Linked DNA regions of Daphnia pulex. The protein of the gene in region 2 binds, or shares a complex with, the protein of the main gene of each other region. Links are inferred from orthologs where the notes say so. Each region holds a gene or a part of one and is shown on either strand. Other genes may lie near its edges.

Region 1 (4,158 bases), on a different chromosome or scaffold from region 2:
GGGCGCTTGATTTGATCAATTCTTCTGTTTTTCCTGAAAACGCAATGAAACAATTAATGAATGAAATGCGTTCAACTGTGTTCATTCGAAGTGGCTTACCTGACGGTTCCAGCATTTTCCGGAAGAGAGGATGATCACTAGACTGAGAAATCTCACTTAGCGTCAAGATATACTGATGAATAGGCAACTGGGAACTGCTAGTTCCAGTAGTAGGCTGCGTCGTTCCGAAAGACATTGAAGTTGAGGGTGCTCCAATACTTGTGTTCCCAAAGAGTGAACCGGGAGCGCCAGTACCCATCCCACCAGTAGCTGTTCCAAAGCTAGGTGTAGTGCCAAAGCCAGAACTTCCAAAGGGAGTACCGCCAAATGGACTGGGCTTTGCATTTGCAGCCGATGCCCCGCCGAACATTGTATTTTGACCGAATCCTAGAGTCGACGGAGTTGATGTCACCGCACCAAATGTTTGCCCGGCTGGTTTGACTCCAAAAGCCGTTTGTCCAGGTGTGAACAACCCAGTTCCAGTAGTACCTATAAAAAATACAGTCGAAATTTTTTTTGGTGCAAACACAAACAAACAACAAAAACAATTTCCTGATCTAACCTGATGTACCAAATCCACCGAACGCTGGCGTCGTTGTTTGAGCGGGAGTAGTTCCAAATGCAGGGGTAGGTGTCGCTCCAAAACCAGTTATTGGTTTCGCACCGAAGATGTTGGATCCAGCGGACTGAGTGGTTGTCGTTTGAGGAAAACCAAAACCTGCTGTTGAAGTCTGAACTCCCATTGCTGGCTTTGGAGTGTTGAAAAAGCTTTGACTGGTCTGCAATAATCAGAAATAAAAAGAAAACGATAAGTAGGAAACAATCTCAAATAAAAAGGAATAAATAAAAATATTATCATTACCTGTTGTGGGGCACCAAATCCAAATGCGGGAGCGGGTGTTTGTGTCCCGAAAGCAGGAGTGGGTTGGCTCGTAGATTGGGGACCGAAAATCGATGAGCCAAAAGGTTTATTTTGTTGTTGCTGACCGAAGAGACTGGGTTGCTGCTGTTGTTGCTGTTGAGGTGCAGGCGTCCCGAAACCAAATGATGATTGAGTGGAAGTAGCAGGTTGACCAAACCCCATGGGTTTTGCTCCAAAGGCCGAAGGTTGAGCTTGTTGCTGTTGAGGCTGTCCAAATAAGCTCGGCTGTCCCATAGCTAAATACATACGAATTATCTCTTTTGTTCATCATACACAAGAAAAATACTTACTGGGTGCTGGTGTTCCGAAAAGGGGCGTCTGTTGAGTTTGTCCAAATAACGGAGTTGATTGGGTAGTCGTAGTGGTCCCACCAAATAATCCTCCAGTTTGTGGTGCGGTTCCCGGGGTCGGTCCTTTCCGTCCTACAGAGTAGTCTTCAAATCTAAGTTCTTCCAAAGATTTATTGTCATATTCTTTCATGCATGTTATACACTGATGGTGTGTGTTTATTGTCGTTTGGACATTGTTTTTCATCTAAAGACCACAAAATGAAAATTATAATTCATAGAGAAAAATATGTGTATGAATAAATATTATACCATAGAGTCTGTCCCTGTTAGAGGACTGAATTTTACTGGGGTACCAGTAATGGCTCCACCAGTACCACCAAATCCCCCAATTGTGTTACCAAAAGATGATGTCCCAAACAAACCAGTACCCGTTGACGGCGTTGCTTGTGCTGTGGGCTGTCCAAAAAGTGAGGTGGTTTGAGTGGGCTGGGATTGGGGTTGTCCAAACAAGCTACTGGAGGTACTAGTTGCTCCAAAGCCAAATGTAGGTTTAGCTTGAGCTCCAAATCCTGTATTGGTGGCTGCTCCAAACATGCCAGTTGTACCAGTTGAAGGGGCAGTTTGTTGGGTATTAGATCCAAACATACCAGTTGAAGCAGCAGGGGCTCCAAATAAGCTCCCCCCTGAAGTCCCACCACCAAATCCTTTTGTTACAAAACCAACAACATGATTAAGTGCTCTTTGATTGCAAATTAATGAAGTTCATCAAAGATATCTACTGTTTGATGAAATGTAACTATAAAACATAAAATACCTCCAAAGCCAGTATTAGTTGCAGGTGCTCCAAATCCTGCTGTAGGTTGTGCTGCTCCAAAAGTGGCAGTAGGTGTACCAAACAAACCTCCCGAGGGTTGGCTTGTTGTAGTACCTGTGCTTCCAAACATCGAGGTATTTGATCCAAAACCTGTAGATTGGAAAGTTGGTGCAGCCGTTCCAGTTGGCTTTGCCCCAAACGAAGACTGCCCAAATCCTGTTGATGTATTTGTACCGAAACCGCCTAAATGCAACAAACAATGGAGGGCAAACAAAAAATGTTGAAATTTAAATGGTGACGTAATGACAAGATAAGATACATTTGTAAACATGAAATATGCTTATGCAATGGTAAAGAATAATAATTGTCTGGATGCATTACCAAAAGTATTTGATGTTGGGGCTCCAAAAGTGGGTCTATTTTGTCCAAACATTTTTAAAGATGTATCATTGAAGAAGCCGGCACACTCCGCAGCTAAGTAAAAAAGAAAATGTCAAAAATGTCTCCCAATATTTATGGAGTACGAAATGCAACACCACAGAAGTCTTAATCTCGGAGAACTCACAATTTGAACTTACAATGGCTAGCGGTCGTCACACAAGTTTTTAGAACACAACAGTAATCTCAGCACGCGGGAGTCGTATGAACTTGCTGACAATTCAATGAAACGTTGAAAAGGCAAGACGGTGCTCATACGAATTACGAAAGGCAAAAAGCAGTTGCGGCGCACAAGAATGAGAATAGAAAGAAGGCCGTTTGACTGCGTCTTCCAGCGGTTAGTATTCATTAACTTGCATTTAGCAATTCAATATGTTTACACTATGATGACACGAAATTTAAGAGGTGTAAAATATTTTAATTAGAATTTGATTGTTGCAAAATTAAAGAGTTTTGGTTAGTTTTCGCAAAAATCTAAACACTGAGAGTCATTATAGGTGGCGCTACGTACATGGCCACCAAAGTTTGACCCTTGATTTAGTTGCATAGTGGGCCTTGTACTTCAGAACTAAACGCAACACTTACGTTTACTCCAAAATTCAATTTTTGAATTGTTGTGTTTTCTTGTTTGTTCAGGCAAAGTGGCTGACAGTTTATTTTTCAATATGAAAAATGTTCTTCTTTTTCTGAAATAGTTAAAGATTCGAGATATTTTTTGTTGTAATAAGTTTCGCAGTCGTGTTAAACAATGGGCCCTGGTCTTGCGAATTCGAGTGGGAGTTCTGTTGAAGAAGATGATGTTTTCAGTTCTCAATTTGCTGCTCTTCTTAAGCCAATTCGAGAGCTTACTAAACAAGGATGTTGGGAGCTGAATATAGCTGATAAATTGGAGGAATATGTCCAGTATATTCAAGATTTGCGGATTGAAGTTAATGTAAACGGGGAGCAAATGAAGCTAGATTTTGCTAAGGCTGCTATGGTTGTACAGAATAGTGCACAAATCTATAGCAAGAAAGTTGAGCAGCTCTGGCTTCTTCTCCAAGAAGTGATTGAGTTTTTAAGTTCGAATGGGTAACTAAAATCATGTACTGTACAATGTTTTACTTTCTAATAAAACACATTTCTCTCTACTCTCTATAGGAATGGTAATGAAAATGATGAAAATCAAACACCTGGCTCCAAGATAAGAAGAAATCACCGAAAAAAACATCACAAAGGAGATGTAGATCTTATCACAGAACCAATTCCACTGAAGTTTAGAAAGTTTGGCTCAAAATTAAAGAGAAAAGCTACAGCCAAAGACACAAAAAAGATCCAAACTTTACCGTATGAAATCTTGCAACTAGAAGAAGTTATAGGAAGCTTAAATTCTGTTAAAATTAAACTCTACACACTTTCAAACGAGCATTTGGGTTACCCCTCTGATCTAAGATCTAATTTCCCCTTTGACCCTTACACTTTGTTTTTGCAAATCCATCACGCAAACGGATTTAAAGTACATCCCGAGAGAGATGTCCTTAACGAAAACCAAGGTAAAATGAAAAATGTGGATATTTTTTTCCGTTTATTAATTTATTTTATTTTTAACGAAGAAGCTGAACATTCCGTCGCAGATTTGGTGCCAACCGAACCAGTTCCTATAACGTCTATGCACC
Region 2 (3,500 bases):
TCGGTTTTGTTAGGCTCTCCAGGTTTGCTAGTCTCACAAGATGGACACTTCATCACACTAGGGTCGTTGCGCAAGAGGCAGCCCTGGCATTCCCAGGATCCTTCTTTGGGTTTAAACTTCTCACCGAACGTTTGAGGTTCTTGGCCTTTCATTTCTTTCGCTGCTTCGACTTTTTCAATACTGATGTCAGCAGATTTCTTCTGGGCTTCATCGAAAACGCCCTTGAACTTCTGGGCCTGATCCATGGTTTTGAACCTCAGTGCAAAGGTTTCCTGAACTAGTTCACCCTCAGAAAAATCTTGTGCAGACCATGTCCATGTACGGTCTGATGTCTGCAAAGGCTTCGGTGACAGCTGAGGAGTAATGTAATGGTTGCAACAGATTTTGAGAACCTGATCTCTTCTCATCAACAAACGAGCTCGGCCAGTGATTTTATGTTCCAAAATCTTCATTTCACCTCTTCCCTTTTCCTTCCACTCTTTGGTTTCAGTAACGTAGCGATAGAGGATGGCTCGATCGATAAATAACAACTTTTCTTCTTCTTCGCCAGTCGATACTTCAATTAAGGCAGGTAATGGGATTACTGGCTCAAAGACAACATTGGGTTCATAATGTTCTCCTTCATTTTCCTCTCCATCCTCCTCCTTGCTCGTATCTTTCGTCTTATCGCTCGGAGTAGTTGATCCGAAAAGTGGTGTTCCGGTTCCAGGGAACTCCTAGAATTTAAAACATGACAAGTCTGTTATATGAAATTGCACAAAATTACAATTGAAAATGTAGAAACATACTTTGTTTGGAGCAATGGTAAAACCGGTCGAAGACTGCTGTTGGGCTAACAGAGAAAACAGCATACCAGGTTCAGCCTTCTTTTCTCCAGCGTCTTTATTTGCAACGCCTCCGAACCCCCCAAAGGAGAAACCAGCAAATGGGCTAGGCTTGTCTTCGGATTTTTTCTCATCTGAAGGCGCCTTTGGTGCTAAAGCAGGAGTCGGATTGCTATTAAAAGAAAAGCCGGCGAAAGGACTAGGCTTGACTTCTTGTTTCTTTTCCTCCAATGGTTTTTCTGGTGTTACAGCAGCAGGAACCGGCGTGGAAAAGGAAAAACTTCCAAAAATTGGTTTAGTTTCAACTGCTGATTTGGGAGTCCCAAAAATTGAGCCAGGTAGCACGGAAGACGTCGGTGTTACTCCAGTTGTGGTTGACGGTGTCACTTTGGTGGTGACGTCGGTTTGACCATTAGTTTGAGCCGTGACTACGGCCGTAGCCAATTTGGGAGGTGAAAATGAAAATGGAGCTTTCGATACCACGGTTTCCGTTGAGGAAGACGGCAGAGCGAATGAAAAAGCAGGTTTGCTTCCTCCAAACGAAAACGCTGCAGAGCTTGATGTTACCGCAGCCGAGCTGGGCGTCGTCGTTACTCCAAAAACAGGTGTAGTTGTTGAAGTCGGTGTTGCGGCAGCCACACCAAACCTAATTGTAGCAGGAGCTGATGTAGTAACGGGAGTTGGAGTTGAAAAACTAAAAGAAGGCGCTGTCGAGGCTGGTGTTGTTGCGGCAGCTGGAACTCCAAACTTCATGCCACTAAACGCGGGAGCTCCAGTTGAAGGTGTTGATGAGAATGTAAATCCCGTGCTAGCAGGGGTAGTCGTTACCGTGGTAGTTTTGAACGCCGTAGGTGTTGTCGAAGCAACAGATGCTACAGAAGGCATTCCAAATTTCATTTGAGAGAAAGGAGTTGGGGCTGGTGCTTGAGCTTCTGTCCCTGGTTTGAGTGTTTCGCAGGATACACATTTGGTAGCTTCTGCCGAATTGTTGACATAGCACATTCTGCAAGCCCATGATCCACTTTTGGGAGCAAATTTGTCCCCAAATCCTTTAACTGGTGCTTCGCTAGCCTTTTTGTCTGTTGTAGTTGCAGTATCAGGCTTAGGTTTAACAACATCGGCTGTTTTGGCCTTTTCAAAGGCTTCTTTGAATTCAGTGGATATTTCTTGAGTTTTGAATTTGGCAGCAAATTTTTCCAGTTTTGCTTCGCCATCTGCAAAATCCATGGCGGCCCAGATCCACGAATTGGCTGAATTATTCATTTCGGATAATTTGATGTCCGCCGTAATTGTGTGATTGGCACAAATCTTGAAGACCTAGATAACAGAGAACAACAAATAATTAATCCTGCGATCATAGAAATAGAAACAACCCATCCTACTTGATCACGGCGCATCAGCAATCGAACTTTCTTCGTAGTCGGGTCTTGAAGAAGTTTTAGTTGGCCAACACCACGCTCTTTCCATTGGTTCTCGGCAAAACGGAAAAGTTTGGCCCTTTGATCGAAAAGTACGTCTTCACCTTCTTCTCCAGTCTTTACTTCCACTTCTTCCGGTAAAGGAATAATAGGTTTGAAATCTGGGTAGTTGTCAACCTCCTCTTCTGGAGCGTAGCTTCCATCAGAACAAGTGGATGCTTTGCGATCACGGGCTGATTTAGATTTATCCGGAGTGGTAACAGATGAAAACTCTGGCTCTGGGATATTGGCAAGCAGGCTTCGAGTAGAAAGCTGGATGGCTGGAGATAAAGTATTATCAACTATTTTCTCCGGTGTAGCCTGTGTGGGAACATTAATCTGATATGCGTGAGGAGCAGGGGCAGTGGAAGATGCTGAATAACCAGCTGCCGCTCTGCGGAGGGCCTCAGAAGCCGATTCCACGTCGTTTATGGGTGTTGGTGCAGTGCTGATTACGGTAGGTTGCTGTAAAGTTGCTGCAAGCAGTGATGTATCTTTTGTTCCAATTCGGGAAAAAACAGACGGAGCTGGGGGTTGGGCAGCAATCTGCTGTTGAATAGGTGGAGCAACCATCCCAGGGGGCAAATAAGTCGATCCTGGTGACGGAGTTGTAACTTGGTCCATTCCCCAATGGGGTATTCCCGGTGGATACGAATAAGTTGGCGTAACGGGGAAAGGACCTGGTGCACCTGGAACTCCTACGTACGGAAAGCCTGGATATTGCTGGTATGCAGAAGGGTGGAATGGAGCTCCATAGGTCGGTGGATATCCGTATGCCGGTCTCGTTGCAGGAGCAAATGGAGGAGCATACAACGGCATATTGATCTGGGGGGCAGAGGGACCAGAGCTCTTCAATTTTCCTTTCAATTTCACTAAATTATCGAGGTCGGTTTCTTCCTCCTCGTCTTCTTGTTCTTCCCAATCTTCCACGTCGCCATCTTCGTAGCATCTATCATCATAGGTCTCAGATGCCTTTTCAGACGACTTTTTCCGACTCTCTTTCACTTCATGTTTTGCTTGCATCTCAAGATGTGACTCCAATTTTTGTATCAAAGTTTTGATGTCCACGACTTCGGCCCGAATTTGTTTTAATTCAGTTGAAATTGCTTGGTTAAATTCCTCCTAAATATTCAATTGATACATTACATAAATGAATTGAAGGGACAACTGTTATGTCAAACTTACCTGTCGCTGCACCATTTGTCTAAGTTGAGCGTCC
Region 3 (3,459 bases), on a different chromosome or scaffold from region 2:
GGGGAAACTCAATCACACCATCCTGTGATCCCACAAGTATCACCTGATAAACAAGCAATGTTAAGGAGTGTATTAGCGCATAGACCGGTAGCTCGGATTCGAGCCGTTCGCCCAGAATCAGTTGCAGAATCACGCTTGCTGTCAAATCTCACCGGTTTCATTCACGGTGAAGATAAGAAAGATACTTCTTCAGTTAGTCCTAAGATTTCACAAGCTCCTTCCAAGACCATATTGCCCACTGTCAAAAGTGTAAGCTATTCGACGCCACAGGAGATTAAATCAGACCTGCCTATGCCTAAAATGGGGTTACCCGATCATGGATTCAATGCTAAGGTCTCTATGGCATCGTCTCGAGTGGATTTTGCCAAACCTACTCCACGTCCGCCCTCCGAGGTCGAAGATGTTACTCCGCCGTCTTCACCAGTTAACTTGGACCAAAAGGCCAAATCTCTCGGCAATCAGCTGATGATGAGCAGTTTGAGTTTACCCTCGCGCGCTCCCGTAACTACCGTGGAAGATACAAAGCCGGTGTCTAAAATGGCCGATTTGAAACCAGTCGTTTCTTTGCCTACTTCGCTTCCACCACCTTACGAGCCCAAACCTTCTTTCTCTTCAGTGCCCACGTCAACACCTATGCTTTCGTTTGGTGCTCCCAAGAAAGACCTAAACTCACTCGGATTAGGATCGACCAGTTTGTTCGGGAAATCTTCCTTTGGTTCCGCATTTGGCGCTGCTGCATCCCCTTCTACGACTATTGCGGCTGCATCATCTAAACCAACAGCCGAAGTTACATCACCATTCTCAACTTCAGGAACGCCGGTTACCAGTGCCGCAATACCGGCTACGTCAGTTCAGCCGCAGACAACTAAGGTTGTTTCTACTTCTTCGTTTGGCTTCTCTGCTCCACCAGCTTTATCAGCCTCCGCTTCAACTCCGTCACTGGTGGCATCGAAACCGGCAGAGCCAGCCCCGACTTTAAAAACAAGTTTTTCTTTCAAAGAGCTTTCATCTCTCTCTGGATCTGCAGCTCCGGCTTCCATTACCACAACAACCGTGACGCCGGCTGCAGTAACACCTTCAAGTTTTACGTTTTCTTCTACCTCCCTAACACCTTCAGCAGCAGCAGTAACCTCTGCTATCGCCGCTACTCCCTTGCCGATTGTAGCGCCGGCTTCGACCACTTCCAACACTGATGATTCAACTACCACCGTTAAACCGTCTGTCGCACCGACAAATTTCTCTTTCAGTTTGGCTGAAACTCCTAACAGTTCCAGTACCAGTGTACCAGGAGCTACTGCTCCTTTTACTTTTAATCTCTCTGGAACCGGTTCAGCTACTACTAGTTCCACACCCACAGGATTTGCAGCACCTTCTTCCACTCCTGTTGCTGGGTCATTGTTCTCTTTGACTCCATCAAATAAAGCACCCGTCGCCTTTGGTGTAGTTAATACTTCAAGTGTGTCCAGTCCCTCAATCTTTGGTCAAGCAGCAGCACCCGTTGTCCCAACAACGACACCAGCGGCCACATCTGTCTTTGGCCAAGCACCACCTCTAGTTCCCGCGACAAGTACCTCCGATTCAGGCGTGGCAACTTTATTTGGCCAAAGCAAACCAATCCAGAATGTATCATTGACTACTGCTGCCCCTGTCACTCAATCCGCTCTTGGACTGGCAGTTGCTCCCACTAGCACACCTTCCGCCTTGTCGCCAGCACCAGCCACCACCACAATTTTTGGTCGTCCATCAGCAGCCCCTGGAAGTTTGTTCGGTCAGTCTGTAACGACTGCCGGACCTTTCCCATCTTCCTTCGGACAGATTGGGTTTGCCCAGCCTACTTCAACAACTTCGACTACATCAAGCACCTCAGTCTTTGGACAGTCAAGCTTTGCCAAACCAGCTCAGGCTAGTGGAGTACAGCCGACTTCATCCTTTGGTTCACCCTCCGTGTTTGGGCAATCAAGTGGTGGAACACCCAGTGGATTGTTAGCAGGGAGCGTTTTTGGACAAGGTGCGGCTCCAGCAACAACCGCGATCAAACCGCTGTTTGGGGTATCTACATTTGGACAAACATCTGTGAATGCTCCTACTTCTTCAGCTCCAAATGCCAACCAAGGATTTGGTGCCGGTTTGTTTGGTAGCATGGGACTCGGTGGTACCCCAACCTCTGCCAACGCTAACCGCAATGTTTTCGGCGGATCGTCTGTATTTGGTGGTGGCACTCCATCTGGTAATTTAACATTTATGTGTGTTTATTTTTTCATCTTCTTACGATTAAGCTAATTTAAGGTCAAGGAACGTTCGGAGCGACTTCTGCGCCATCTTCTTTTGGTGTTCAACCTACTACTGCTGCTCCAGCTTCTTCGTTTGGCAGTACTTCACCGCCAAGTTTTGGAGGCTTTGGACAAGCCCAACCCGCATTCGGAGGAGCTGCGACCTTCGGTGGTTCCCCGCTATTCGGAAGCAAACCGACGTTTGGTGGTGGAGCAACATTTGGTTCTCCCGTAAACAGCAATGTTGCGCCAAAACCAGAAGCGGGTAACAATAATATTTCTATTCATCCATTTTCTTTTATTCATAATGTTTCTTGAAAGGATTTGGTGCCTTTGCTGCTTCCAGTAACGTCCCTACATTTGGAGTACTTGCAAACTCTGGACCATCTTTTGAAACTTTGGCAAGTAGCGGTAATGCCCAACCAGCCTTTGGAGGTGCAGCTTTTCCAGCAAGCAATCCACCATCATTTGGAGGGTAAGTCGGAACAATAATTTGTGCATAGTCTTCAAATTCTATTGAAGTGCTTAAACTTGAATCTACAACTTTTTTTTTTTAGGGGAAGTTCTTTTTCGTCGTGGCGTTAAATTCGTTGAAAGCTTCCTCTATTCTGGCCAAATTTACACTTATAGTTTTCTTTTAGATTGCCATTGAAATTTTGGAAATGGAAAATACACGCGTCCTTTGTAAACACGCTGTTTTGGGCATTGAATAGTTTATAATGAAATATTTCTAAAAGTACTTTCTTCATTTTTATCTTAAATGTCCTTTAAACAAAAGTCATTCGCTTACGCAAATACTCTCATTTCGTCGTTGCACTTCTGCAAGGCCCACTATTTTATTGCAGGATTTCATAACTGTTTTCCATTTATTATTGATTTTTGTAAATTACCTTTCGGTCACTCGCTTTGTTGATGCCTTCGTATCAGGAACGATTAAGGATAAAAACAAACTTATCGGTATTTAAAATATTTCCAGTGTATTTTTTAACTTGCGCTTTTCTAAACCATTGTTAAGAAAACTCATCTTCAAATCAAGATTTTAATAAGTACTTATGAATTTTGTTCCATAAAAATCATGTTCATAGGAAGAGCATCTCTTATAAGAATGATTCGGTTCTGGTGAATTTTCTCTAAATCTTCTACATATCCAAACCAATAGATAACTAGGCCCGGTCCAAATCTACGCATT
Region 4 (4,134 bases), on a different chromosome or scaffold from region 2:
AGCATCAAAGATTGGATGTGTTTTTTGACCTTATAAAGATATACATATGGTGAAAGCGTCTAGGAGGCAACGACTGGCGATAAACAAAACCACCGTTCTTCGAATTTGAGGAAATAAAAACTTGGGAGGTTTTGAAATAAAAAAAATTAAAATGCTCAATCCTACGATTTCCTCCCCTCCCTTATATCTTTTTCTCTCTTCGCAGTGCGATTGACGATTGGATTTCATTTCTTTATTTTGAGCCCCAATATGCGAATCCTGTAAATAAATGTAACAAGGAAAACATACCCAAATAGGTGGACACCACCGTTCCTAAACGTCCGTCTCCTCACTTCAACCTACCCAACTCTTATGATTATTGTGTTTCTTTTTTTTTTTTTTGAATTTTTTGCCACAATCAAACCGTCAACAGTTCTTTTTTGTGTGTGCGTGAATGCGTGTCATTGAAAGGAAAAAAACCTCTATTCTCGCCCTGATCTTCCTTCATATTTTCCTCATTTACCTTGTTTGAACACTGAAAATTTTTTAAAAAGTAAAAATTATCTTATAAGAAAAATTCTGCTAGAATCGACTTTGTATGTGTGAGTGAGTGTGAGTGTTCGTCTATGGCAACTTGTGGCACAGCGCATCGTGTCTTCGTAAGTGTGCGTCTGTATTATCAAGTCAGTTGGATGACATTAGTGTAATTTGTACAGGTGAAAACAACAAAAAAAAAACAAATTCTCAGTGCTATTATTCTATTTTGTATCGAGATGACGCGTTGGACTCGGTCTCCCAAATTGGGCGTCATTAAATTCTGAAAAAAAAGCGATGTCATCTTTATAATGTTTTCTCGAGCGAAACTGAACTTTTCCCGTATTTCCTTCTGCTCCAACTCCACCACCACTCCTCCACAACAAAAAAAAGCAGCTGAGAGCATTGCTTTTTTGTATAATGATAAAAGGGAACAACTTTTTTGTGCTTGTCGATTAATTATTATTTTTCATTTTCGTGTGTGGTCGGTCTTTTTTTTCAATCTTTTTTCTTGTGCGTGTTATACGTGACTGTTGTGGACAAGATAATGTGTACAGGATAATTTGCAGTTCATTTGTAAATATTACTTGTTACTCTTTTGATTACAAACCGTCTGATCATTCTTAAAATAAGCTGATTCGTTTTTACTTTATTTTTCAAATATCCACACCCTATTTTGAGAAAACAATAAATCCATGGACGAATATTGAATAGATAGATAAATGGGTTTTTGGCGGTAATCGTGTTTCAATTTCAACGCAATTGTTTCAATTTTCTTACTGGCGGGAATTTACTTTGAATAGATGGCGCTGTGATGGTAGGTGGCGTTGGCATCATCTACCGACTACCGGTACGAAAAATTATCACACGACAATTCCCCACAGACGAATTCGAAGTCCAAGTTTCGAATACGTTCAGCTTTTGCCCTTGTGGTTATTAGGTTTTTTTAGTGAAATAAGCTTTACTTTTGGTTGAACTGTCACAAGTTTTAAAATCAAAAGATGTGGACCAAGTCTAAGGACCTCCACAGTCTGGTTGAAGACACAATTAATAACCAGCAATGCAACAGCCTAGACAATCTGGAGAAAGCATTGAAAAATCACCGTTCAGATTTCTCTGCCCTTCTTAAACAGCCGGTAATTTCATGAATCAGATTAAATCTGTGTTCTAAGCTCAAGTCAAATTCATTTTCAGGCAAAAAATCTCGATGACAGAAACCTTCTCCTAAAATCTGTCAAAGAACCTGTTCTTTTCCCTGGAAGAAAGACGACTGCTTCACTTGAACAATCGTTTGTGGATGAAGCACTCATTATCTCTGATATGTTTAATCTAAACGAAAATGTTGCTGTTGAACTTTTACACACAGCAGAACAGCAAATGCATTACTATCCAGAATTAACCAGGGGTTTGATTTCAGTACTGCTGTACTATGATGCTAGACGTGCCATTGTCAATTCATTAAAAATTCTCATCCAAGCAAGGAAAGGAATTTCATGGGCTGTAGACACCAGCGAACAAGTTGTTGACTTAATAACAGAGTACACCGTTAAATTGGTGAAAAAAGGTTTGGTAGATCAAATCATAGCCCTGTTAAGTCAACTGAACCTTGAAAAGGAAATCAATTTGCTCCACGAAAACCGAGCTCTCGGTGGACCAAAACACAGAAGGTTTGTTTACAATTAAGATTAATATTTCTTTCTTTTAATTTTTTGTGTTTTTTATTTTAGACAAGTTCATGATTTCTTCACTGAAATAAGGCAGTCGTTAGCGGACATTGTATTTTGTTTGGCTGCTCAAAATGGACTGTGTAGGGACGATACACTGCTGCTAGTGAATTACCTTTCATCTGTCGAACAAGTCGATAACGTCAACGTCACTCTTTTCATGGCTCTTTTGTATGCTATTGATATCAGCGGTATCGTTAGAACTGAAGAAAGTGAAGACGTCGTCCGGTTGTTACCCATCACTTCGGAAAGTGCATTTGTTGCGACTATTCAAAAGCGTCTGACAGAACCACTTCCTTGGAAGAACATTGGCCTTCAAGCTTCAGTTCAACTTGCCTGGGCAGTGACTTTGGCTACTTTCCGTTCGCTTTCATCTGGACTTTGCGCTCCAATTCAAATGCAGGTTGACGAAGACGAAGCCATCCTAGACGTCGCGTTAGAGGGAAAAGCTTTGAATTTTCTCAGTCATCTACTACAAACCAAAAATCATATCTACAAAGAGGAGTTTTACTTACGGCGATTACATTCACTTGTGACGGATCTAATTGTTCAAATGCCCCTGAAAATCAAAGATCTTCGTAATAAGGCCGATGAAGTTGCACGTAACATCTTTGTCTATCAGCAAGAGGGCCTTGAGCCACCTTCAAACCTGCCGCTGGATTTTCAATGGTTGCTTAACTTTATCGCCGTTCTGTACGGAGAGGATCCTCTAGAGCTGGAACTGTGTCTTGAATTTTGGTCTAGTGACATGGCCAATGCTGGAGTAAACTACAGGTATATGGTTATTGTTTATTTTGAAATAAAAATAAAAACTTATCGCCTTTTTAATGCAGAGTCTCTCAGCGACAAATGGCCCTATATAAGTTTATTCGTTTGGCCGGGGATTTGCTACCGCCTTCTCTCTACATTTCTTATGCCAGCATGCTTTGCGGATTGGCAAATGGAAAGAGGGCAGCTCACCAAGCCTTTACCCTTCTGAAACAAAACAGCAACGGCGGTCAAAGCAATTTGATCTCTTGGGAACACTTTTTCTCATCACTCCACAGATATTTTAACAGTTTGCGCCAAGAGTCGCTCCCTGTACCGGACACCATCTACCGCCACAAGCCCCTCACAAAAGGCATTACACCACAGGAGGTTCAGGGATTGCAGGTCGTTTTGAAGTTAATGCGAATCGTTCTCCAACATGACCCTGTTGCCAGGATATCTTTGGCCGAGAATCCAACATGGATACCATTAGTCGTGATGATCGGACTCTTAGGTAAGTAAAAGCAAATAGCTATCGAATGAACCCGAAAAATACATCTTCTAAATTGTAGGCTGTGCTGTGCCATTGAGTTTGAAGGGAGAGATCATGGAGGTTCTTGCAGCTTTCGCCCAGTCACCTGACATCGCATATACACTGTGGAACAGCATTGAAATAGCTCAGATTTTGTCAACTACAAGCATAGTTTCAACAAATGTCAAAGGTTTGTGCATGAAGATAATTCTATATTAATTTCCTGCCCAGTAAAAAACAAAAAAAGGGTTGAATATTAGGTCTCCACACGGAATTGGAAGATGTTGAGTCTCGAGCTGAAGAATACCCCCTCACAAGAGCCTTTCTTAAATTACTGGACGTGATGACTGATATATCCATCCCAACCAACTTGGGAACTGGACATAGAACGCCTGGATTTGATCCCTACTTATTCTACGTTAAAGATTCCGTTTTCCTGAAATTTAGTGGTAGGGCGTACCGCAATGAAACGGAAAAATGGCAGGTTTGTTCGTTTAGGTTTAAAAAGTTGTAAAACAAAGTCTTAACATTGACTTCGTTTTGTAGATTGGAAATGCCTGTGTAAAGCTATTTTTAAAATTGCTCTCGAATTACGAACCCAGTGTGGATGATTTTCAG
Region 5 (3,216 bases), on a different chromosome or scaffold from region 2:
TCCGCAGACGGGAGAGGACTTTTCCGACCTCCACCGTGATGACAGAGAAAGCGTTGTGTGAAATTGCGCCTCCTTATTCTTGCATCCTCCACAGTCTTTTTACATGATGACAAATTTGCTTTACTTGTTTCGTGATTCGTATATTTCGCCATTTGAAAATGCCATACCCGATCTCCGATTCTTCTCGGTTAAGATTTTTAATCGATTTCAAGTCGGAATGTTTTCTTTGATTTTAGTGTATCTGTAATATTGTCGCTGCTGAAAATATTGTGATAAATCGGTTGTTGTTTTACATACCTTGTTTTGCACTTTGTACATCGATAACCCATTTAGTTCAAATTTTAATCAGGTAAGAGAGCCTTTGATGAATTCTAGTAGTTAAAAGAAGTTTGGTCTTCATAATCAGATATTCGCCAGATAAAACGCATATCAACAAAGTAGGTCACAACCAAATAAAATAGTCAAGTGACGTAATTGAAAAAAAAAAAGGTCAACAAGTGTTACACCTTACTTAGCGTTTTATTTCAGATCGGAGTATGTTTTCTGGACGATAAGTAAGTATTGAAATGAAGACAATAAGAATTTTTAAAAAACAAATAGAGCACGTGGAAAAGAAAAAGAAGTTAACTTATTCCTTGACAGCTGGATTTACTTGGGAAATTAAGACAGCAAATCAGTGGTGGCAGCCATAGCCTTGGCTTGTGCTCTAACACGTTTTTCGTACTCCATTCGATTTTGACTGGAGAAATAATCAAATGAAATATTACAATCCAAACTTTCAAGTTGTCTACTGGTGTAAAAATCATTACCAGTAGATAGTATAAGCTTCTGCCTGAGCCGGATCCTTAATATTGGGGTCATTTAGGAGATCTTGAATTCCAAGCAAAATCTGTTTGATGGTAATTGCAGGTCTCCAGTCCTTTTCTTCATCCAACAATGATAGACAAACTGTGCCTGGATATTAAATGCCAAAAGGTTAGCTAAAACAAAACACTCAAATAGCCATTTGATTCAACCTGATGGATAGACGTTTGGATGGAAAAGTGGGGGCTCAAATTTGCATTTTGGAGGAGAAGAGGGGTAGTCATCTTTAAAAATCATACGGATTTTGTACAATCCATTTTCCCAGGGAGTCTGTAAATGTATGCACAAGTTACACTTAATATTGTTACTTCAAACAACAGTGAATTTGGTAAGTATATCTGACACCAATGTGAAGTAAGATCTTTAAGTGTAAAACTCATTACCGATTTCTTGCCTGGAATAGCACATTCCCAGTTCATCAAATTGAGGGTTCCATCAGGATTCTTTGTGGGCCTGGCAACAAAACCCTAAAGGCAACGCAAAGATACACAAATCAAACACACACAACCCAACAACTATCGTTTGGCAAACCAGCAACTTACAAAGGGATGGTCTTTCCTCCAGCCTTTACGTTCCTCAGAAAGTCGAGCAATAGCAATACCGGACATTATTGGTCACTAGAGAATAAAAATTTCAGTGTGATGTAATAAGAAAGTGTGAATATGACTGAAGAAAGCAAGATGCAACAGCTCTTAAATAAATAATAGTTACCTTTTTTCAACGGCTGCCAAATAATTTAGCTGTGTAGTTTCGTACAATTATTGCCAGGGTTGCCTTAAGGTAATTCGAATAATTACAAATCAATTTAAAATTTAATTTGGGGATTTAAACGAATAAATGATGAAACATTTGCATGTAAAATATGGATTTCAATGAAATCAAACCATTTTGGCTGTAGCATGCATAAGCATTTTTAGTTTTAGTTTTCATCAACTAAAATTAAAAATGAACTGGCTATGCTGCCACTGCCTATGAAAGATGGCGCCCAGATGGTTCAAAAAACAACAGAGCAGTGAGTCACACAGGCATGCATCTTAAGTTCTTGTATTTTGTTTAAATTCCAAATTGAAAAATCAAGTGTTAAAAAAAATCATTGATATCTTCCATCTCATGTAGCTTTGATCGTTCAACATTCGAGACAAGCCAAGCGTCGTTTACGTAATGCTTCCAGAATATTCGAACACGTGAATCAACTAGTGACAAACCACAAAGGTATCACACGAAGACAAAACGAAAAAAGGTGCAAACAACCATGTCTCGAATGAATTAAGAATGATATAATCTCTAATCCTAAAGCCTCAGTTCAGTTTAACTTTGTGGATGGGGAAACTACAAAATTGATATAGAATGTTCAGAAAGGTATGAAAACATCAGTTAATTTGTCATATTAGGTCACAAACTCTAAATTTATTAAATGAAGATCTGTTATTCCCTATTATGGTTGTTTCAGCTAGGTACTTCTCGCATAGAAGGGTTGAATGTGTTAGTGCCAAAGTGGAAGGGAATGAAACATACTTGGGTATCTCAAAGCGGAAAATATCCTGTTAAATACTCATTAGATATGATGTATTGGTGATTTCACAAAACAATAGTGCTTGAATCACTATTTTGTATAGTTCAAAGATTATTACATGTGCCAGTTTTTAAACTAATTTCTTGCTTGGAAACGTAGTGTGCTATGTAATATTGTTGTGAGTCTGTCTTTATTTTTACCATTGCACTGAATAACAAATGACTCCTGAAGGGCTCAGGAAGATGCTTCTGAGAAAGTTAACTGTCAAGTAATAGAATAATGTCCATATCTAAAAAAATCTTTTGAATATAACTCCTCGTCAGTATTGGCTGTTACAGAGAAATGTCAATCATATTATAGAGCATAATTGTAAATGTTTTATTTCAGATTACTAACTATAATTTTATTATTAGGCGTAACCAATGAGTACTGGGGAATCGCGTCTTGAAAGCTTCGTGTTCCCTTCACATATTCGCACGTTTGAATGCAAATATATGGCGTTGCATGAAAGGAGATTACTGTCACCAAAGTGAGCAGGTATGTGGAAAGTAAATTTCTTTATGATAATGATATTTTATCAATAAATTAAAGATCAAAATGTTGATTTAAAATGAGCTGATAATAAAAAATTGAAATGTAAATTTTGTGACAAACGTTTATATTCCTGTAGCCAATGTAACAGACATCTAAGATTGGGATTTCAGACTACAGAAAGGACGACCAACAACAAACATCAATCGTTGTAGCCAGTGCGGTAGCAAGAATGAGGGATAGATAATTAGACAACATTAACAGAATAAGTAACGGATTATTCTGCTGTAAGACGTATGCCAGTGACT
Region 6 (2,639 bases), on a different chromosome or scaffold from region 2:
ACGACTGAAGAATAGTTACATTCACGAATATCAGGTCGAAGACAGCGTCCTTTATAAGCTATTCGAATCACTGAGAAAACCAAACAAATTCAACACGGATGGAACCATTTCCTAAAAAAGAATATTTCAAATAGCCTACTGTTTCCAGGGCTAGCCTTATTATGGCACTGTAAAGCCTTCAGATTCGTGTAGGAAATCCCGTTAACCCCACAAAGTGGTTTATAACTTTTGGGAATTTTACAACTTGTTGCACCTACTACTAGTACAACTGAACAACACAAAATAAAGTATATTATAAATTCTTGATTGACAATTTATTTTTACCAAGCAACAGCGTTGTGCAATGCATCCTCTCTCGAAAAGGTTTGTACGCACTTTGCGATCAAAAGCAAGAAATGGAAGTCAAGACCTTTCATCCTTGAACTTTGATGTCAATATTCATAGCAATACAAGTTGATAGAAACAAGTGGCAGAGTGCCCATAAGTTAACGAAAGGATCATTCTCGGTTACGAAAATGGTTTTATTTATTCGATTGGAAATGAAGAACAGAAAGCAGGGCGATATTTTGATGACAACATTGGAAATTAAAAGACAGTTTTGTCCAGAAAATGTGGAAAGTTTTCCATGAATGCATCGAGGTTCTTAAATTAATTGCCACCAGTTTGTTCCTGATAAACCTCAATGACATCATCATTCTCCATTTCCAACTAGAACAGCAGTACAGAAATTCATTACTTGCATATCATTTAACACATCAGCTAAGTGCATTAGACACAACATACCTGTTTAGGGGTTTCATCATCATTAATTCGCCTTCCATCAAACAAAAACCTCAGCGAAGTAACTGGCACACCCTGAACACAAAGAAAATCTTTATCAATAAGTGAAAAAAAAAATGACAGGAAAAACCCTTACCACTCTTTCACTATAAGACTTCTTGAGTTTGCCCATCTGTGTCGTCATCTTTACTCGAAAGTGAATTTCATTTGAATCCTGGCCAACAACTTTCAATTTGATGTACTCTGATCCTGCATCACCGGCATCAGGTTTCTGATCCTGTATATTAAAAATAGAAACCACAGTTAGCCAAATTGGTATAGGGTAATGCAAAGGCAAACAGTTAAAATATCGAACACATGATCAGAACTAAAAAAAAATCGACTATCCAGCAAAGACAACACGTGAAAACAAATTTTATGGAAAAAGAAACGAATGGGGTAAATTTAGCAATACTTAAAAAGTAACATAGATAGTTACGTGCTTACATCAGCCATGGTTAAAACAAGTTCTTTTTCTAAAACTAGCAGCACGTTTGAGACGACTCTATTGAAGAATAATGAATAATGGCGTGGGCCAAAAAAGCGCCGAGAATAAACGTTGCCGCACCAGCTATATACGTCTGGATGCCGGCACTGCACTAAAAACTTATTTTAACAACGGCCGGCCACGTATGAAATGAGTACATTTTTTTAAATTAAAAAACTTTTTTTAAATAAATTGGAATATATTAATAAAATTTGTAGGATTTTTTTTAAATTTTTTGCTGCTTTGAAGAATATTTTGCTTGAAACAATTGCACAATATGTAATTTGGGATTGATAATATTTAAAATTAAGACTGATGATATCCAATGGCTTGATTCAATAAAAATATAAATTGAGATCTTCTTCGACTACATTTTGGCTGCTTAAGCAATTATTACACAGTTAGCAATCGTTATGGATGATTATTAGCAACGTGTGCGTGCAGTTGATGTCCCTTAATTTAATTTGATAATCATACATCATATTAATGTTTCATGAATTAATAGGTTTACAGCCGTCACTACGTCCATAGCACTCACTCCATAAAAATTTTTGCTGAGATTGTAAATGCCAACCGCAGCATAGAAACGAGTTACTCCAATAATCAGTTAGCAAACTAGAATCGAATTTGGTGAGTTGATGACTTGAATTATTAAATGGCGGGACGACTGCTGGTTTTCCCTGTACGAATTGATAATGCTGTCGTAATAAAAAAAGGAACATTGTTGCGACATCTGTAGGTAGTAAATAATTTGTGTTGTTACAGTTACAGTTTCGCATCGTCGGATTTTTTTCTGTTTGCTGACTTCGTTCTTTTGAATGAGCGACACACCAGTATTAATCGACCAATAGCATCCTATTCCAGGGGAATTTTAAGAAAATTTCTTGCTTACTGACAAGTTGTGTCTTATGGAGTACAGCAAACCGAAATTATAGAAGACTATTTTATTAGATATTTTTGAATGAATGTTAAATTTTGGTTTGATTCTGTAAACCTTCCACTGGAATTCGAGCAATTTTTTTTAGTAGTCAAACTTGTTGCTAACCCAACGAAAAATTTCCAACAGCGTCATTTTCATTTTAGGAGTCGAATTTATTGCCATTTTTATTAATTAATTCCATATAGCTATTAATGCGTTGTTGTACAAATTATTTTGTTCTAGATTATTGCGCTTTAGTATGAAATAAAACCTTACCTTTGAGACGGTTTGGGGGTTTTATTACAACAAGATAAATTTTATTATACAAGATGATGCCTCTTCTTTACAGAAATATTTTTTAAGCATTGCACTGATCCTTCGGTAGTTGAACAACAGTCAGACGAGGAAGCCAAT
Region 7 (4,189 bases), on a different chromosome or scaffold from region 2:
GGGATGCAAGTTTGTCGCAACAACTGTTGTTGCTGTTGTCGGGGAGAATTTTCCTCCTCGAAGGACATGCTATCAACCATCCAGCCTCCGTCAGGAAAAAGTAGGACGTTATACAGTTTGTCAATAGCTGATTGCGTGAGGGAATCGACGGCTGCCTGCCAGCGTTGAATTTCAACTTGATGTTGCTTAAGATGCTGTTCTTTGAGTAAGTTTTCAGTGAATGATAGTTGAGAACTGGCTCCTCCTCGCTGTTGTTGAACGGTAGCTTCTGTTTTCTTGGGCTTGGAGTGATGGAAACGTGTGAACCATTCTTGAAAGGCGTCTAGTGCATCAATGTAAGTCTGGATGCAAAGGTATTCACGGACAGCAGCCTCGACTTCAGTGGGCAAATCCGTCAATCCAGTTCGTGATTCCCATAGTTCGGTCAATATGGCGACTGTGTCGGGTGGAGTCAACTGGAACGTCAGCTTCACAGCTTCAATCTGACGACGGAGAAGGTATCCCCGCATGAGAGTGTTGGCTTGGATAAGCAATTGACTTCGCATTGACGGATCCATTAACAACCAGCTCAGTGAACGTATCCGGCGTTCATCTTCTGCCGTGGTCGCTACCTAAAAGTATTAAACAATTATGAGTACGCTATGCACGAATGCAGATCGAAATCTATATTAATCACCTGTAGAGAAGCATCAGTGACGTGTTGGACCATTCCGCCCTGGTCGCAAAGTTTGATTACAACTTGTTTGGCGATAGCGTTGACATCAAGTCCGACATCCTGGGCCAAAGATAGGAGGCGCCTTCGCTCCTCGTCGTCACAGGATTCTTCCTGTTCCTCTACCATAACGAGGCATTGAGCATACAGGCGAATTTGATCTTCTGGCAAAGGCAATTGTCCAACATAGACAGCCGCCAAATCAGTTCGTCCAAGATTGACAAGTTGTAGAACGTAAGCTTCCAGGATGGATCCGATGGAATCGTCACATGAGCCACGACCGATGCGCCGGAAGAACAGAGCAAGATGGGACATTAGCCGGATCATGTGAGGGCGTAGGTGAACGCTCCAGCTGTCACCTTGTTTCAGCCAAGACGACATTTCTTCAAGTAATCCGTCAACATCATCCATAATAAGGTAGCGCTGTATGATCCTGCATTTCAAAATTTGCTTTGGTAAATTTCGCATTAGACAAATTAAAGAATTAGTCACCTATATTGGTCACGGCCTTGGGCGATCAAAGTCTTATCTCTGGAGGCAGCTAAAGTTGAGAAAATGGACTCGACGGTCAACTGTTGATTCCAATATTCGTCTGGTAGAATTTGAAGTTGCCGTTTATAATTGACACAGCGACGAAGTTCCTTCTCGACACAGTGGTCGATCATGGCACGCAGATGAGCCCACAGTTGATCTTCCCAGGAACGACAGGCAGGTAAAAGGGCTTTCAAATGTCCACAAAGAAGAGCAAAGATTGCGCGCTCTTCCTCCGACAACTGCACATTTTCGCACTCTTTCCAAGTCATCGTCTTCCATATGTCACGATAAGGATTTCCAGATGGCGACTCTACAGTTGAGATAAATATTTTTATCGAATCCATTGGTTTCTACAAATCTGGAAATTACCTTTCGTGTTGGCTACATCCGTGCGAGATTTCATGTTGGGATCATGAAACAGTTTCCATCCTTCCAAAATTGCAGCCCGAAATGGTTGACCTGCTCGGAAACAGAGCTGCTGGGCTTCATCCAGCTGTCCACAACGGAGTCGAGCAAATACAGAACGAAGCAAACGCATTTCATCTTCTTTGTCAAGTGGGTGAAGACGTCTGTTTTGTTCTCGGTTAGGAGCATCGGGATCCATTTGAGTAACCATATTTTGCTCGACGTTATCTGTACTAAGCCCTCGTTTTTTACTGACCAAAGAATGAAGAGTATTTTCCCAGCCGGCAACCGCATCTCCGTAAAACTCCACCTAATTAGAGTATAATATATTATTTAATAAAAGAAAATTTTAATTACATTAAAAAATACCTGGCTGTAATGGGAATCGTGATAGACATCAGCCGCTCGTTGTTCCAGCCAATCGACTACGAGCTGAGCCTGTCTGATTATGGCATTTTTGTCATAGAGTTGTTTTACCAAGTCATCTTCACTTGTAACATCATCCAATCCACTCCAGATTTCATCAGACTCCATTTCACTGTCATGAAATTCAGAGTTTAAACGATCTTGGTAGAGAGATGCAACCAATCTCCATGTGTCACGCTCAAGTCTCAGTTCTTGCTCCAATTCTTGTGCTTGTGATAGTTTGTTGTGTCCACGAGGGGCCATTTGAATCAATTTTCGCAAAGCAGATACTTGTTCTCCACATTCTGACTCATATTCTGCACACTGATTAAACACTTGATGTTCTGCCCCATATGACTGAAATGTTTTGAGGAATCTCTCAAATAGTTCTAAGACATTTTCTACTCCTGGAACTTCTTCTTCTAGAAGGATGCTCATGAGTTCTTCATTTCGTTTCTTTCGTGATACATTGCTCACTGTTAAGTCTGCTCTTGTCGAATCCAGATTTTTCCTTTGTAAACCAGCACCAATTCTCGTAAATGTAGGATCACTTTCGAAAATAGTGTGGCTAAGATCATCAGACATAAAAGACATTGTATTATGTCGGTTAGGAGAAGGGAGGCAACTGGCCCCCAACATGTCTGATGTCTTTTCGAGTGAGTGCTTTATTCTTCGACCAGGAAGATTTAGTTTGCCAGTAACAGTTGAGTTAGAACCGGCAATAATTGGAGATTGAAACTCCATTGTGCTTATTTTAAAAAGATACAATAAAATTCACTGTCTTATAAAGAAGAAGTTTGAAGGTTTGAAGTTTTCCGTTTTTCGTTTTATTGTAACGTAGCAGACTAAGTAAAAGGGCGTTGCAATTCACGTTCAAAGTTTTATTCATTAAAATAATTATAATTAATTGAAATTGAAATAGTAATGATTTGATTTTTATAATTGTTATAATATTTAATACAATTTTATTCTATTTTTTAACTCAATTTTTAAGATTTTATTTCAAACAATTTGAATGTTCACTTCACTTCCTTCCTACCCCTTCCTAGCAGACAAACTTAAGTTTGTTTTTGACTTTTTGACACGTGTGAAAAATTGTCTTTAAAAATCATGGCGAATTTCAATACTAAACGGCCTATGGAAGAAGATAGCAGCGATTCTTCAGAGGAAGAAGAAGAAGAAAATGATTCTCAAGATGAAGAAATGGGTGAAGATGAGCAACTTGGAGAGAACGACCGAGAGATTCAAGTCGACTTTGAAGGTCAATCACCAATCGCTGAAGATTTTCACGGTATCAAGAGTCTAATGCATCAGCTTTTCCTAAAGGCTCATATTAATTTAAGTGGTCTGACGGAACTCATCATTCAGCAAAACTACATTGGAAGTATATTACAGGTAATAAAATCTTGTGAAGATGTAATTTGTGTACTTTACTAAAGATATCTACTTCTTCAGCAATGTGTGGATAATGATGAACCTGATAGTGATGATGAAGGAAATTCTCTTGATGAAGTTTTTGGAATTACTTCTGTAATTAACTTGACACATCACAAGGTGAGATAAAATTTTGAATTTGTGTTACACAAATTACAATTAACCCAATTTTTTTTGTTATTTACTTTTCCTAGGATGTGGAATGTATTAAAGAAGTAAAAAAGTACCTGTTGGAAAAAACACAGAAGAAACTGAGTGGATTGTTTGATGATCCATCTAACCAGATAGGACTTATATTCAATGAAAGGTTCATAAACATACCACCTCAAGTTTCTGTTCCCCTACTGGAAAATCTATGGTATACAAGACTTAATTTGAATTATATCCCAAGTTTAAATGTAAAATTTTGTTAATAGTAAGGAGATTGATGAAGCAAAAAAATCTGGAAAGCCTTTTGACTTTACACACTTCATTTTAATTTCCAAACTTCATGAATCTACAAGAAAAGATCCTGAATCAAGGAAAAAAAAAGTCAAAGGAGGAGCCACCATATTATGGGTTAATGCAGAAGAAGAACCAATTTCAGAGGTATTCATCTATTAATTCCACGCCTAAGTAGAGTAGGTTGTAATAAAATTTCGTCAAATAGATGGGTGAAATATTAGGAGAATATTCTGTACGAAGCGAGTCAGATGCAGC

What was found.
Region 1: E3 SUMO-protein ligase RanBP2-like (region 2) and nuclear pore complex protein Nup98-Nup96-like share a complex: the UniProt entries of both Homo sapiens proteins name them as parts of the nuclear pore complex. The link is inferred for Daphnia pulex from reciprocal best matches to the Homo sapiens genes RANBP2 and NUP98.
Region 3: E3 SUMO-protein ligase RanBP2-like (region 2) and nuclear pore complex protein Nup214-like share a complex: the UniProt entries of both Homo sapiens proteins name them as parts of the nuclear pore complex. The link is inferred for Daphnia pulex from reciprocal best matches to the Homo sapiens genes RANBP2 and NUP214.
Region 4: E3 SUMO-protein ligase RanBP2-like (region 2) and nuclear pore complex protein Nup205-like share a complex: the UniProt entries of both Homo sapiens proteins name them as parts of the nuclear pore complex. The link is inferred for Daphnia pulex from reciprocal best matches to the Homo sapiens genes RANBP2 and NUP205.
Region 5: the proteins of E3 SUMO-protein ligase RanBP2-like (region 2) and SUMO-conjugating enzyme UBC9-B are in contact, whole or in part, in a crystal structure (PDB 3UIO), measured with the Homo sapiens proteins. The link is inferred for Daphnia pulex from reciprocal best matches to the Homo sapiens genes RANBP2 and UBE2I. Residues at the interface, in NP_006258.3 of Homo sapiens: Leu2651, Lys2652, Leu2653, Pro2654, Phe2657, Phe2658, Tyr2660, Tyr2666, Val2667, Glu2669, Glu2671, Glu2672, Asp2673, Asp2674, Glu2675, Asp2676, Phe2677, Ala2680, Val2681, Leu2684, Gly2686, Lys2687, Leu2688, Tyr2689, Leu2690; in NP_003336.1 of Homo sapiens: Ile4, Ser7, Arg8, Gln11, Glu12, Arg13, Lys14, Ala15, Arg17, Lys18, Phe22, Gly23, Val25, Val27, Lys30, Met36, Glu42, Cys43, Ala44, Pro46, Gly47, Lys48, Lys49, Trp53, Glu54, Gly55, Gly56, Leu57, Lys59, Pro69.
Region 6: the proteins of E3 SUMO-protein ligase RanBP2-like (region 2) and small ubiquitin-related modifier-like are in contact, whole or in part, in a crystal structure (PDB 1Z5S), measured with the Homo sapiens proteins. The link is inferred for Daphnia pulex from reciprocal best matches to the Homo sapiens genes RANBP2 and SUMO1. Residues at the interface, in NP_006258.3 of Homo sapiens: Asp2631, Val2632, Leu2633, Ile2634, Val2635, Tyr2636, Glu2637, Leu2638, Pro2654, Thr2656, Cys2659; in NP_001005781.1 of Homo sapiens: Asp30, Ser31, Ser32, Glu33, Ile34, His35, Phe36, Lys37, Val38, Lys39, Thr41, Thr42, His43, Lys46, Leu47, Ser50, Arg54.
Region 7: E3 SUMO-protein ligase RanBP2-like (region 2) and nuclear pore complex protein Nup107-like share a complex: the UniProt entries of both Homo sapiens proteins name them as parts of the nuclear pore complex. The link is inferred for Daphnia pulex from reciprocal best matches to the Homo sapiens genes RANBP2 and NUP107.

What each region holds. Positions count from the first base shown.
Region 1 is NC_060021.1:8,259,612-8,263,769, reverse strand, and holds the start of nuclear pore complex protein Nup98-Nup96-like, read right to left. Parts: upstream 2,801-4,158; 5' UTR 2,644-2,800; exon of another isoform or gene 2,631-2,643; intron 2,540-2,630; 5' UTR 2,499-2,539; coding exon 2,447-2,498; intron 2,309-2,446; coding exon 2,066-2,308; intron 1,956-2,065; coding exon 1,561-1,955; intron 1,496-1,560; coding exon 1,252-1,495; intron 1,198-1,251; coding exon 902-1,197; intron 819-901; coding exon 602-818; intron 529-601; coding exon 100-528; intron 34-99; coding exon 1-33. Other genes in the region: condensin-2 complex subunit H2-like, read left to right, coding at 3,252-3,574, 3,644-4,035, 4,096-4,158. UniProt on the Homo sapiens protein: Plays a role in the nuclear pore complex (NPC) assembly and/or maintenance. NUP98 and NUP96 are involved in the bidirectional transport across the NPC. May anchor NUP153 and TPR to the NPC.
Region 2 is NC_060024.1:12,890,422-12,893,921, reverse strand, and holds part of E3 SUMO-protein ligase RanBP2-like, read right to left. Parts: coding exon 3,467-3,500; intron 3,404-3,466; coding exon 2,207-3,403; intron 2,142-2,206; coding exon 789-2,141; intron 717-788; coding exon 1-716. UniProt on the Homo sapiens protein: E3 SUMO-protein ligase which facilitates SUMO1 and SUMO2 conjugation by UBE2I. Involved in transport factor (Ran-GTP, karyopherin)-mediated protein import via the F-G repeat-containing domain which acts as a docking site for substrates.
Region 3 is NC_060027.1:5,445,039-5,448,497, reverse strand, and holds the end of nuclear pore complex protein Nup214-like, read left to right. Parts: coding exon 1-2,227; intron 2,228-2,286; coding exon 2,287-2,535; intron 2,536-2,591; coding exon 2,592-2,745; intron 2,746-2,827; coding exon 2,828-2,855; 3' UTR 2,856-2,959; downstream 2,960-3,459. Other genes in the region: CDAN1-interacting nuclease 1-like, read right to left, coding at 3,321-3,450. UniProt on the Homo sapiens protein: Part of the nuclear pore complex. Has a critical role in nucleocytoplasmic transport.
Region 4 is NC_060022.1:5,063,116-5,067,249, reverse strand, and holds the start of nuclear pore complex protein Nup205-like, read left to right. Parts: upstream 1-1,334; 5' UTR 1,335-1,514; coding exon 1,515-1,649; intron 1,650-1,707; coding exon 1,708-2,180; intron 2,181-2,240; coding exon 2,241-3,011; intron 3,012-3,070; coding exon 3,071-3,498; intron 3,499-3,556; coding exon 3,557-3,706; intron 3,707-3,776; coding exon 3,777-4,000; intron 4,001-4,062; coding exon 4,063-4,134. UniProt on the Homo sapiens protein: Plays a role in the nuclear pore complex (NPC) assembly and/or maintenance. May anchor NUP62 and other nucleoporins, but not NUP153 and TPR, to the NPC.
Region 5 is NC_060018.1:632,407-635,622, reverse strand, and holds SUMO-conjugating enzyme UBC9-B, read right to left. Parts: upstream 1,729-3,216; 5' UTR 1,576-1,728; exon of another isoform or gene 1,482-1,575; 5' UTR 1,473-1,481; coding exon 1,407-1,472; intron 1,332-1,406; coding exon 1,248-1,331; intron 1,135-1,247; coding exon 1,017-1,134; intron 955-1,016; coding exon 810-954; intron 740-809; coding exon 661-739; 3' UTR 501-660; downstream 1-500. Other genes in the region: receptor-type guanylate cyclase Gyc76C-like, read left to right, coding at 1-61. UniProt on the Homo sapiens protein: Accepts the ubiquitin-like proteins SUMO1, SUMO2, SUMO3, SUMO4 and SUMO1P1/SUMO5 from the UBLE1A-UBLE1B E1 complex and catalyzes their covalent attachment to other proteins with the help of an E3 ligase such as RANBP2, CBX4 and ZNF451.
Region 6 is NC_060017.1:276,948-279,586, forward strand, and holds small ubiquitin-related modifier-like, read right to left. Parts: upstream 1,429-2,639; 5' UTR 1,276-1,428; coding exon 1,267-1,275; intron 1,058-1,266; coding exon 917-1,057; intron 856-916; coding exon 784-855; intron 709-783; coding exon 649-708; 3' UTR 501-648; downstream 1-500. Other genes in the region: serine protease inhibitor dipetalogastin-like, read right to left, coding at 1-70, 140-268, 325-349. UniProt on the Homo sapiens protein: Ubiquitin-like protein that can be covalently attached to proteins as a monomer or a lysine-linked polymer.
Region 7 is NC_060019.1:10,133,856-10,138,044, forward strand, and holds the start of nuclear pore complex protein Nup107-like, read right to left. Parts: upstream 2,801-4,189; coding exon 2,021-2,800; intron 1,962-2,020; coding exon 1,616-1,961; intron 1,557-1,615; coding exon 1,205-1,556; intron 1,146-1,204; coding exon 677-1,145; intron 612-676; coding exon 1-611. Other genes in the region: protein BCCIP homolog, read left to right, coding at 3,167-3,451, 3,512-3,610, 3,685-3,848, 3,907-4,078, 4,140-4,189. UniProt on the Homo sapiens protein: Plays a role in the nuclear pore complex (NPC) assembly and/or maintenance. Required for the assembly of peripheral proteins into the NPC. May anchor NUP62 to the NPC. Involved in nephrogenesis.